3 linked regions of the Saccharomyces cerevisiae S288C genome follow. The protein of the gene in region 1 binds, or shares a complex with, the protein of each later gene. Each region holds a gene or a part of one and is shown on either strand. Other genes may lie near its edges. A codon is read from its position in the direction of its gene.

What was found.
Region 2: the proteins of COX5A (region 1) and COX2 are in contact, whole or in part, in a cryo-EM structure (PDB 8DH6), measured with the Saccharomyces cerevisiae proteins. Residues at the interface, in NP_014346.1 of Saccharomyces cerevisiae: Ala121 (codon at 617), Lys122 (codon at 614), Thr123 (codon at 611), Glu127 (codon at 599), Trp128 (codon at 596), Lys131 (codon at 587), Ser132 (codon at 584), Tyr135 (codon at 575), Leu136 (codon at 572), Lys139 (codon at 563), Asn140 (codon at 560), Ala141 (codon at 557), Asn142 (codon at 554), Pro143 (codon at 551), Trp144 (codon at 548), Gly145 (codon at 545), Gly146 (codon at 542), Tyr147 (codon at 539), Ser148 (codon at 536), Gln149 (codon at 533), Val150 (codon at 530), Gln151 (codon at 527); in NP_009326.1 of Saccharomyces cerevisiae: Asp16 (codon at 1,227), Val17 (codon at 1,224), Pro18 (codon at 1,221), Thr19 (codon at 1,218), Pro20 (codon at 1,215), Asp27 (codon at 1,194), Ser28 (codon at 1,191), Asp150 (codon at 825), Leu153 (codon at 816), Glu154 (codon at 813), Glu155 (codon at 810), Gly156 (codon at 807), Gln157 (codon at 804), Leu158 (codon at 801), Arg159 (codon at 798), Arg213 (codon at 636), Glu214 (codon at 633), Gly215 (codon at 630), Val216 (codon at 627), Tyr218 (codon at 621), Lys235 (codon at 570), Glu237 (codon at 564).
Region 3: the proteins of COX5A (region 1) and COX1 are in contact, whole or in part, in a cryo-EM structure (PDB 8DH6), measured with the Saccharomyces cerevisiae proteins. Residues at the interface, in NP_014346.1 of Saccharomyces cerevisiae: Ile75 (codon at 755), Ser76 (codon at 752), Tyr77 (codon at 749), Gly78 (codon at 746), Trp80 (codon at 740), Gly81 (codon at 737), Pro82 (codon at 734), Arg83 (codon at 731), Arg84 (codon at 728), Val86 (codon at 722), Leu87 (codon at 719), Asn88 (codon at 716), Asp91 (codon at 707), Phe94 (codon at 698), Ile95 (codon at 695), Gly98 (codon at 686), Val99 (codon at 683), Gly102 (codon at 674), Leu103 (codon at 671), Phe105 (codon at 665), Ser106 (codon at 662), Val107 (codon at 659), Leu109 (codon at 653), Phe110 (codon at 650), Val113 (codon at 641), Arg114 (codon at 638), Ala116 (codon at 632), Gly117 (codon at 629), Gly118 (codon at 626), Gln119 (codon at 623); in NP_009305.1 of Saccharomyces cerevisiae: Leu38 (codon at 2,917), Ala41 (codon at 2,908), Ala42 (codon at 2,905), Pro43 (codon at 2,902), Gln46 (codon at 2,893), Tyr47 (codon at 2,890), Arg333, Leu334, Ala335, Glu407, Lys408, Gln411, Ile412, Trp415, Leu416, Ile419, Asp445, Ala446, Ala448, Gly449, Tyr452, Ser455, Ile456, Phe459, Ile460, Leu463, Asn486, Ser488, Val489, Ile490.

The regions. Positions count from the first base shown.
Region 1 is NC_001146.8:530,060-532,701, reverse strand, and holds COX5A (cytochrome c oxidase subunit Va), read right to left. Parts: upstream 978-2,642; coding exon 516-977; downstream 1-515. Other genes in the region: Golgi transport complex subunit COG5, read right to left, coding at 1-43; tyrosine/serine/threonine protein phosphatase MSG5, read right to left, coding at 1,291-2,642. UniProt on the Saccharomyces cerevisiae protein: Component of the cytochrome c oxidase, the last enzyme in the mitochondrial electron transport chain which drives oxidative phosphorylation.
Region 2 is NC_001224.1:71,673-75,029, reverse strand, and holds COX2 (cytochrome c oxidase subunit 2), read right to left. Parts: upstream 1,273-3,357; coding exon 517-1,272; downstream 1-516. Other genes in the region: Q0255 (maturase-like protein), read right to left, coding at 1-535. UniProt on the Saccharomyces cerevisiae protein: Component of the cytochrome c oxidase, the last enzyme in the mitochondrial electron transport chain which drives oxidative phosphorylation.
Region 3 is NC_001224.1:11,816-16,845, reverse strand, and holds the start of COX1 (cytochrome c oxidase subunit 1), read right to left. Parts: upstream 3,029-5,030; coding exon 2,860-3,028; coding exon of another isoform or gene 524-2,859; intron 412-523; coding exon 376-411; coding exon of another isoform or gene 1-375. Other genes in the region: intron-encoded reverse transcriptase aI1, read right to left, coding at 524-3,028; intron-encoded DNA endonuclease aI3, read right to left, coding at 376-411, 2,860-3,028; intron-encoded DNA endonuclease aI4, read right to left, coding at 376-411, 2,860-3,028; AI5_ALPHA (intron-encoded DNA endonuclease aI5 alpha), read right to left, coding at 376-411, 2,860-3,028; intron-encoded reverse transcriptase aI2, read right to left, coding at 1-411, 2,860-3,028. UniProt on the Saccharomyces cerevisiae protein: Component of the cytochrome c oxidase, the last enzyme in the mitochondrial electron transport chain which drives oxidative phosphorylation.

The sequences.
Region 1 (2,642 bases):
ACTCAAAATCTTCTAAATCGTTTGCCATTGGCGCTATTGTCATACCTCCAGCTCTTTTCTTCTTTTTTGTTACACATTTTTATCTTCCATATCTATTCTAGTTGATTTTTTTTTTTTCATAGTATTCAACCAAATGGAGAAGTTTTTAAGAAATACGTCTTTGAAAGGGAGGCATAGAATAACAAGGTAAACCCATTTATACAGGATTCCCTCATACTATATTAGCTTATTTCATTCCAGGGGGGTTCCCTTAAATATAAGAATAATAAGAATAATGATATAAAATTATATGTCTAACAAAAAATTACAAAATTTGAGTAAATAAATAAAGAAAAAATGTGAGAGTGGCAATCAGCCAATTTTATGTTTGATATGTTGGCATTGTATTGGGCGGATGCCCATGGATACACTTATAATGTAATAAGATATTCACTTTCGTACAGGTCACAGACTAGCTGAAAAAACCATGACAATCGTTAACCCCTATTGATTTCCTTTCAAAATTTCTGGCCTGTTCATTTAGATTGGACCTGAGAATAACCACCCCAAGGATTAGCATTCTTCGACTTCAAATATTCGTCACTCTTTAGCTGCCACTCCTTATTCATGGTCTTTGCGTCTTGGCCACCCGCCATCCTGACGACAGCAAAAAGTCCCACTGAAAATAGTAGGCCTGCAGCAACACCTTTGGCAATAAAACTGGAATCACCCTTATTCAATACAGGTCTTCTTGGGCCCCATTCTCCGTAAGAAATGTACCACACAGCTTGCTTTTCAGGCTCAGTAAGCTGTGCCCATGGTAATTTTTGACGTTCACTCAACTTACTGACAATATCCTGCTGCTCAGTGGAGGGCATGTTCTCCCATCTGGATTGCAGATCCATTACAGCAGCGTTGGAAAGAGCATGTGTTTGAGCGAATCTTACGGATGTAATACGTGATAGTCCACCAGCTCTAGTAAAAGTGTTACGTAACATTGTAGATGCGTTCTTAGTTGATCTTGTGTTTGGTGCATTGCTTGCAAACAGAAGACAAAATACGAGGACTGATGGTTCTTATTTAATTGATTGTTCTTTTTAACTTTTCGCCGCCGCTTGTATCGGCGCAAAACGTAGGGCCAATCACAAACGAGGAAAACGTCTATTGGACGATTTTTGCAATGTGACACTTACAATGATGAATAATTACTATGTAGGCAGAAGTGCTAAGTACATTCTATTTAGAAGCGTAGGGAGGCGGTCTGCCTGCAGATCTGATAGTCATAAAGATTCTTTTGGGAGATGCTGTCCCTTAAGGAAGAAACATCATCTGTTCCGGGGCAGTAGATATTGATTCGTTGTCCACAGAAGCTTCCAGTGAATCTGCGGGTTGAGACAAACTTTTACAGTGCTCATCATCTTCCCCGCGTTCTGTGGCCAGTGCGGTCCTTGCTCCAGTCAACGTAGCAGGAGTTCTTGGCGTTACTTCCGAAGAATTGACAGAACTGTCATTCGGCGACGATGATAGATTCGTTACCATGGGAAAACTTCTAAAGGACGCAGAAGAGTAGGACTTCGTAGTCGAGGAAACTTCGTTGTTTCCGATGTCATCTTCCTCAGGCATGTGAACAGTCTCTCCTTCTTCGCCCGGTGAGTTCTTGGACAACATGGTTCCCCATTCCATAAGTTGGAAGATGAGACCCATGTTTGGACTTATATCCTTAGCAACACCTTTCAGCTTATTGTATGCATCATTTAAACTCAAGCCATAATATCGCATGATATACGCCACAATCAATGACGCCGATCTTGATACTCCACACTGACAGTGTACGAGTATTTTCTTGCCTTGCGAATGAGCGGTATGTATAATGCGTGTCAATCGGGATAAGTCCTTGACGATCTTGGATGTGTGTGTCCATTCAATATGGTAATATTTTATTTTATGTGCCATTTCCGGCGGTATTAAAAACTCCAGGTTCGGTATTTCTTTGGCAACATTAATGACTAAATCAAACGATAATATATCTTCTAGTTTGGGTTCTGAATATAGATACAAATTAGGCGGCAGTACCAGCAATGGTCCATCTAAATAAACCGTTCGTTGATAAATCTCTGCATGCACCATATCAATATTCAGATCCGAGTCCTCCTCCGGGAAAATCAATGTTGTTTGCATATTCTTTTGGTTAGAAAATCTGTTGACATCCGTACTATCTAAAGTACCTTCACGAGTACTAGAAATTGGCGTGGATGTCTCTAACCCTGAGATCGTTTGAGAACGTCCTCTAATTCCCTTCAACTTCAAGTCTTTAGTTTTCACGGATAATGAATGGACTCTATTCAGATGAGGTTTTTCTGAAAATGACGATAACGGTGATGATGATGACAGCTTACTGATAGACGATACTGTGGATGATTTTGTATACACGCTTGGAGAAACAGTTCGGTTCTTCAAAGATGTTGGTAGTGTGTATATAGAGGCCTCGCTTCGCCTCATCGACAGCGATGGTGGCGTTGGCCTTGGACTTACTTTTGGTGGACATTTCTCCAACACAATAGGTTTGGGCTTCATAAATAGATTCAAAGGTGTCGGCGATGGGAATTTTACTGAACCTGGCACATCTTGGCTTGGCGATGAGAATTCCATTAATGGATGGAGTG
Region 2 (3,357 bases), on another chromosome or scaffold:
ATTTATAATAACTATAATATTTAATTGTTAAACAAGGATACTTATCAAAAATAGTTACAATATTAGAATATAACCATTTCTTTTGTGAATTTACTAATATAATTGTTTTAAGTAGTTCTTCAAAATTAGAAGGTATATTTAATATATTTCTAATCTTTTCTAAACATGCTTTATCATCAATATGTATTCTAAAACCATAAAAAAATCTTAAATATTTTTTATCATTTAATTTAATATAAAAACTACCATCTCCATCTGTAAATCCTACTAATCATTTATAAAAATTATCTATTTCTAAATTATTCTTATTATTATTTTTATTATCTTTTTGAACAATAATTAATTTATTATTTAAAGAAGTATGATAACCTCTTTTAATAATATTTATATTTTTAATATAAGGTGATTGAATAGAATATAAATCTATATCTTTATTATATTTAAGAATATTATTATAATTATTATTATTATTATTATTTTTAATAATTAAAAATATTAATAATAAGTAAATATTAATTATTGTTCATTTAATCATTCCAAAAATTTAGGTAATGATACTGCTTCGATCTTAATTGGCATATTTGCATGACCTGTCCCACACAACTCAGAACATGCTCCATAGAAGACACCTTCTCTTTGAATTAAAGCAGAAACTTGATTTAATCTACCAGGAGTAGCATCAACTTTAATACCTAAACTTGGAATAGCAAAATCATGAATAACATCAGCAGCTGTTACAACGAATCTAATATGTGTATCTACAGGTACAACTATAGAAGTATCAGTATCTAATAATCTTAATTGACCTTCTTCTAATAATTCATCAGGAATAACATATGATTCAAATTCAACAGTTTCACCACTATCATTAATAAAATCTGAATATTCATATTTTCAATATCATTGATATCCAATAGCTTTAATAGTTATAGCTGGTGAAATAACTTCATCACATAAATATAATAAAATAAATGAAGGAAAAGCAATAATTAATAAAATTACAGCTGGAAAAATTGTTCAAATAACTTCAATAGTTTGTCCATGTTTAATATATTTATATGCAATAGGATTTTTTGAATATGTTATAACAATTGTATATAACATTCAAGATACTAAACCTAAAATAACTAATAAATAAAACATAATATTATCATGTAATTCTAAAATACCTTCTTGATTTGGTGTTGCTGAATCCTGAAAATAACATGCATAAGGTGTTGGTACATCATTCATAATGAATGTTGTTAATTGTAATCTTAATAAATCTAACATTTTAATAAATCTTAACCTTTAGACTCTTTTGTCTATTTATAATATGTTAATACTACTTTTAATTAAAATTTATTTATAATTTATTATTATATATTATAAATTAAAATAAAAAATATTATATTATATTATCAACCCCACCTTTTTTTATTAAAAATAATTAAAATTATATATTATTTTTATAAATAATATATATAATATTATTAATCATATAAATATATATTTTATTAAAAAAAAAAAAATACTAAAACTCCTTCGGTCCTCCTCCCGTTAGGGAGGGGTCCCTCACTCCTTACGGGATTCCCGCTTCCCAAAAACTAATAATATTCATATCATATATATTAATATTTATTAAAATATATAATATTTAGATTATATATAATATATATAATTTTTATTATTATAATATATTAGTGATTACCTTATTTATAAAGGTATGAAGCAAGGAGTTATTATTTATTATTATTATTATTATTATTATTATTAATATAATATATATATAATATATTATTAATTTTTATTTATACTCCTTCGGGGTCCCCGCCGGGGCGGGGACTTATATTTATATTATTAATATAATATATATTTAAAAATAAAATAGTCCGCCCCGCGGAGGGGGGCGGGACCCCGAAGGAGTCCGCCCCCCTTTTTATTTTATTTTATTTAATTTTAAAGAAGAAGAATTATTTATATTTATTTATTTATTTATCTCCTTCGGGGTTCCGGCTCCCGTGGCCGGCCCCCGGAACTGTAATAATATATTAATTTAATTAATATTTTTTATAGATAAATATACATTATATGTTTTTATTAATTAATTATTTATTTATTTATTTATAATATATATTTAAATATTATATTATATATATATATTTAAAAGATAAATTATATTTATAATTATTTAATGAACATCTATTTAATAATAATAAAATAGTCCGGCCCGCCCCCGCGGGGCGGACCCCGAAGGAGTCCGGCCGAAGGAGATGTGAATCCTGCTAGGAGGAGTAATTATTTATTAATATTATTTTAATATATATAAATATTATAATCATTATTACTTGTAGAAGGAATTGAACCTTACATTATTTATTTATGAGACAAATGTTTTAACCAATTAAACTATACAAGCTCCTTAATTATAATTATTATTATAATTAATACAATATTTACTCTTTATTATCAATATTTATACCTTATTTTATAAATATAAATAAAAGATATTAATTATTAAAATATTAATAAATATATTCTTTAATAATTTATAATTATAATATAATAATTATAATAATAATAATTTTTAATAAAAAATAAAATAATTATAAAATTATAATCTTATTATATAAAATATATAATATATTTATAATTATTAATAAAAAAGATAATTATATAATTAAAATTAATATATATATATATATATATATAAAGGTATTATTAATTAATTAAAAATATTAATATATTTGTTAATTAAATAAATAAATAAATATAAATATTATCTAATTATAAATTTATTCTTAGTAATTAATATATATATAATATTATATAATATAATATATATAATATAGGTGTTAGTTTAATAATATTCTTTATTATATATAAATATAAATAAGATATCTTATACTATATATTATAATAAATTATAAATAATTAAACATAATAAATATAATTTATATATACATATTTATTTTTTATTAATTTATAACATATTAATAAAAATAATAAATATATAATTTCTTTAGAATACTTTTTATTCTCCTTCCGGAATTAATAAAATAAAATAATATAATATAATATAAAATATAGATACTTATTTAATTTATTAATTAATATATATATAAATATATTATTATATATAATATAAATAAATATATAATATAATATAATATTAATAATTATTATTATATACCTTTTTATAAATAATTTAAATATTTATAAAAATATTTTAATAATATTTATAATATAAAATTTATCATTTTATAAAAATTATATATATATATATAATATATAAAATAGTTTCTTCTTACATAAAATATAATAAAAATTATAAAATATATTAAATTATTAATAATTATATATTTAATGAATAATCTT
Region 3 (5,030 bases), on another chromosome or scaffold:
TTAAAGCTAATGATTCATTTTTGGTTAACTCGTGTACCTCTTCTTCCAATACATAAGCATGAATCACAATCCCCAAGTGGGAAGGAGTTAATGAGAACCCTAAACATTCTTTACAGGAATTCGTTAACCTAGCCATCGGACAGTTCTTACCTTGCGCTGGCTGTTTTACTCCAGCGCTTTTATGGCATGCTATTGTCCCCGTTGAGTTGGCCCCAACTGGGTAAGCCATATGGTTTACGTATCTAAATACTATGTATGTTACTACTAATAATCAGAACCAAAATGATACGGTAAAGTTTTCATTAATTGAATAAACAGAGATATGTTTATCAATTAACACTTCAATACAGTGATAAATTAAGCGAAACGGCGCACAGAAAATCATTAATACAGCATGACCAACTACTAAAAATGAAATAGCAAATTAACCTATGTTGCCACGTGTTAAAGAGCCTTTCCCAAACCGTACGTGATAGTTTCCCATCATACGGCTTTCCATATTGAGTATCATTAATAATAGATTTTATATACCAGGTCCTATATTTTTAAATTTATTTTTATGTGTTTTAATATGACATTGTTTACATAATGGAATTTGTTTTCTGTTTATGGTAATTATTCTACCTAGAATATAATCTTTAAGTGCTTTTAATATACCTCTATGTAATTGTTTAACATGATGTATTTCTACATCAATAGTTGAATTACAAATACTACAAGGTTTATTAAAATTAGCTTTAGCTGTAGGTAATATATATTTAATTGAATCGATATATTCAAAAGGATCAGTTACTTTAGCTTCTGATATATATATAAATATACCATGATTTTCAATTTTTTTGATATTATCAAAAGTATTTCTTGGAAAATTGGCAATTAATTTATCATTTTCAATAATATTTAAATTATAACCAAATTTTTTAATAGTTTTACTTATTGTTTTTAATCTATATTTACTAGCTAAAGTTAATACACATGAATAATATAATACGTAATAGATTCTTTCTCTTAATCTTTTATAATTAGTAGCTAATTTATAATAATTTAAGATACCTCTACCTAACGCTTTATAATTATTAATAATTGTTCTAGGTTCTTCATATAGTCATCTACCTACTCTTGTAGGCACTCCTATTCTACCATTTTTATTATGCTTACAATATCCATTAGTAGCTAATTTATTGATAATATCTCTAATTGGTGCATTAATAATAGGTCTAGTTGTATTTCTACTTCTAATAAGTTTACCTCTAATTAGTTTAGTAACTGTAGGTATTCTTTTTAAAGGTGTAATTGAAATATTATAACCTAAAAATCTTGCTGGTAGTTCAGTTGCACAAGTAATTAAAGTTTTTTCTTCATTTATAGTTAAACCTAATGAATTTAAAAAATTGTTTAAATCTCTTTTGATTATTTTACAATCATTTTTTGAACCTAATACCCCAATTAAAATATCATCTGCATATCTAACGTATTTTATTCTCTTGAAATTAGGATCATTATAAATAAATAGTGGGCCTTTAGCTCTTTCTTTATGTAATTTTAATCTTGTCGAAAATATTTTAGCTTTTGCAATTATTCTTGATAATTTTTTATATGTAGGATGTTGTTTTTTAACTTTACCTTTATTATATAAATTAATATAATCTTCTAATCAATTATCTACCAATGTTATTACAATATTACATAAGATAGGACTAATTAATGATCCTTGAGGTAAACCTAATATAGGTTTATGATAAGTTCCTTTCTCATCAATATAACCAGCTCTTAATAATTTATATACTAAATCAATAAAACCTTTATCTGAAATATATCTTTTTAATTCTTTAATAATTAAATCATGAGAAATTGTATCAAAACATTTTTTTAAGTCTACTTCAATAAATCAATTACTTCCACCAAATATATTTCTAACTTCTCAAATTGCTGTTTGACAACTTATATTCTTTCTAAAACCATGTGAATGTGTTGATATCTTTTTATCAAAAATTGTATCTAAAATTATTCTTATAACTTCTTGTACAATTTTATCTCTTGGATTACCTACACTTAAAGGTCTTATACCACCTTTAGGTTTAGGAATATTAACTATTCTCATGGGTTTAAATTTGAATTTACCTGTTCCTAATTCATTTGATAATTTATTTAAATATATTATATTTATACCATCTAATGTTTCTAATGTTGTACCTGGAGTTATATTACCAGGTTTACTCTTAATTCTATTATATGCTAATATTAATATATCTACGTTTTTTATAATACTTAATAAATTATTATTTATATTTTCCTCATTTATATTATCTATTACTAATTTCTCAAATTCTAACAAGTCCGAAGTACTTGTATCTTTTGATAACTCAATATTGGTATCCTTCCCTATTTTTAAATTATTATTTACTGAATAGTATCTAACTTGATTTAAAAATCTCATTTTTATTTGAGTATTCGGTACTACTATACCTCTGTCAACTCCAGAGTTTCCTCTTTCAGTTGATCCCTCACTTTTCGTATTTCCTTTTGTGTTATTTAGGTCCTTCATCTTTTTCACACTGCCTGTGCTATCTAAAACAATGAATCATAATCTGATTACCTCAACGTAAAATAATCAAACTTGTTTTACTATATCCAAATGATAAGAGGAAATTGTAATCCTGATAAAGACTTGTAAGAAGTTCGTTAACCTAACCATGTAACACTTAACTCCACCTACACTAATCATAGGTGTTTTATGACATGCTATTGTCCCCGTAAAGTTAGCCCCTACTGAGTTAGTCATATGTTTTAAGTATCTATTGATGATTCATAATACTAATGCTAGACGCATCAACGAAATATACGCACTGAGAGGCGCACCATTAAATAATTGTGAATTACCATGTAAATATTGTGAACCAGGTGCAGCTAATTCTAATCTAATGATTAAAGACATTGCTGTTCCTGCCATACCACTAAAAATAGCTAACATAAAATATAATACTGCAATATCTTTTGCATTTGTTGAATATAATCATCTTTGTACCATTTTTACTTTTTTTTTATATATTAATTTTAATAATATTATTATTATTATATTCATTAAAAAAAAAAATTAATTAAATTTAATTTAATTTAATTTAAATAATTATTGTTATATCTTAAAGGATAATAATATATTATTCTATTTATAAATATAACAATAGTTGAATTTATAATATTAATTATTAATGAATACTATATAATATTTTAGTTATAACTTTAAACAATTCTTTTATATCTTTATAAATAAATATTATTATATTATAAAGTAATAGTATAATTAATTTTTATATATATATTATTTATATAAATGTATCATAATCTATAATATAATATATATATATATATTAAAATCATTTAAATTATATAACATATATATATATTTAATGATATTAATACTCTCTTTCATAATCTATATTATTAATATTATTTATATAAAATATTAATAATATTATTATTATATCTATTACTTATATCAATACTTATTATTTAATATTATATATTACTTTTTACTCATTACAAAATACCAACTAAACCGAACTAATATAAATATATTATTTAATATATTGATTTTTTTATTATTTATTACTTAATAATAAAATAAATTATATAAAAATATTATTATCTATATATTATATATATATTTATATATATATATATTTTTTATATTATATTATATTATATATATATTATTTACATTCTTTATTATATTTATATATATTATTATTCTTTATTATAAATAAGAAATTATTTAATTTATATTTTTATGATAATATTTAAAGATTTATTAATTAAATTATTCATAATATATTAAATAATATTAATCTTATATATATAAATAATTAATATTGATTATTATTATTATTATTATATATATAAATAAATATTGATAAAAATAATATTTAATATAGAGTATTATATTTTATATAATTAATATATATATATATATATATTGTTATATATATTAAAAAAGTAATGTAGTTATATTTTTAGTATTAAATATATAAGTCCCGGTTTCTTACGAAACCGGGACCTCGGAGACGTAATAGGGGGAGGGGGTGGGTGATAAGAACCAAACTATTCAATAAATATAGAGCACACATTAGTTAAATGTATTAATATAATCAATAAATATATTATAATAATATAATATATTATATAATATAAATAAAGGTATTAACGAAATAATAAATTGTATAATATAAATTATAAATAAATAATTAAAATAAATTTAATAAAATAATAAATAAAAACAAGAAGATATCCGGGTCCCATGATAAATTATTATTGAAAATAATAATTGGGACCCCACCACTATAATAAAATATTAATGAATATAATTATAATATATATAAAAATATATATAATAATATTTATATATAATATATATATATATATATAGAAATATAAATTATTATATAAAAATATAATTCTCCTCCGGCGTCCGCCCCGCGGGGCGGGCCGGACTATTTATTATTATATTTTAATAATAAATAAATAAAAATAATAATAATAGTTCCGGGGCCCGGCCACGGGAGCCGGAACCCCGGAAGGAGAAATATAAAAGTATAAATTATATAAAAAGCATATTAATTAATTAATTCTTATAAGAATTACAATTAATTGATATTATATGCCAAATACCAATTAATTAATTAATTAAATTGAAATTAATATATATATAATTATATAAATAATAATATAATAAAAAATAAAATACTTATTATTATTATAAAAATAAGTTATAATATAAAAATATTAATTATTTATTTATTTATTTATTTTATAAAAAAAAATAAATATATATTTATAATATCTTAATATAATTATAATTATTAAAATATTTATATATATTTATATATTTATATTATAATGAATATAAAAACTTTTTATTAATTAGTAAGAAATGAATATTTATATTATAATATAAATATGTATTTATTAATATTAGAACATATCAATAATTATTATTATAATTATTATTAGTCCAAATAAAAATAAAAATAAAA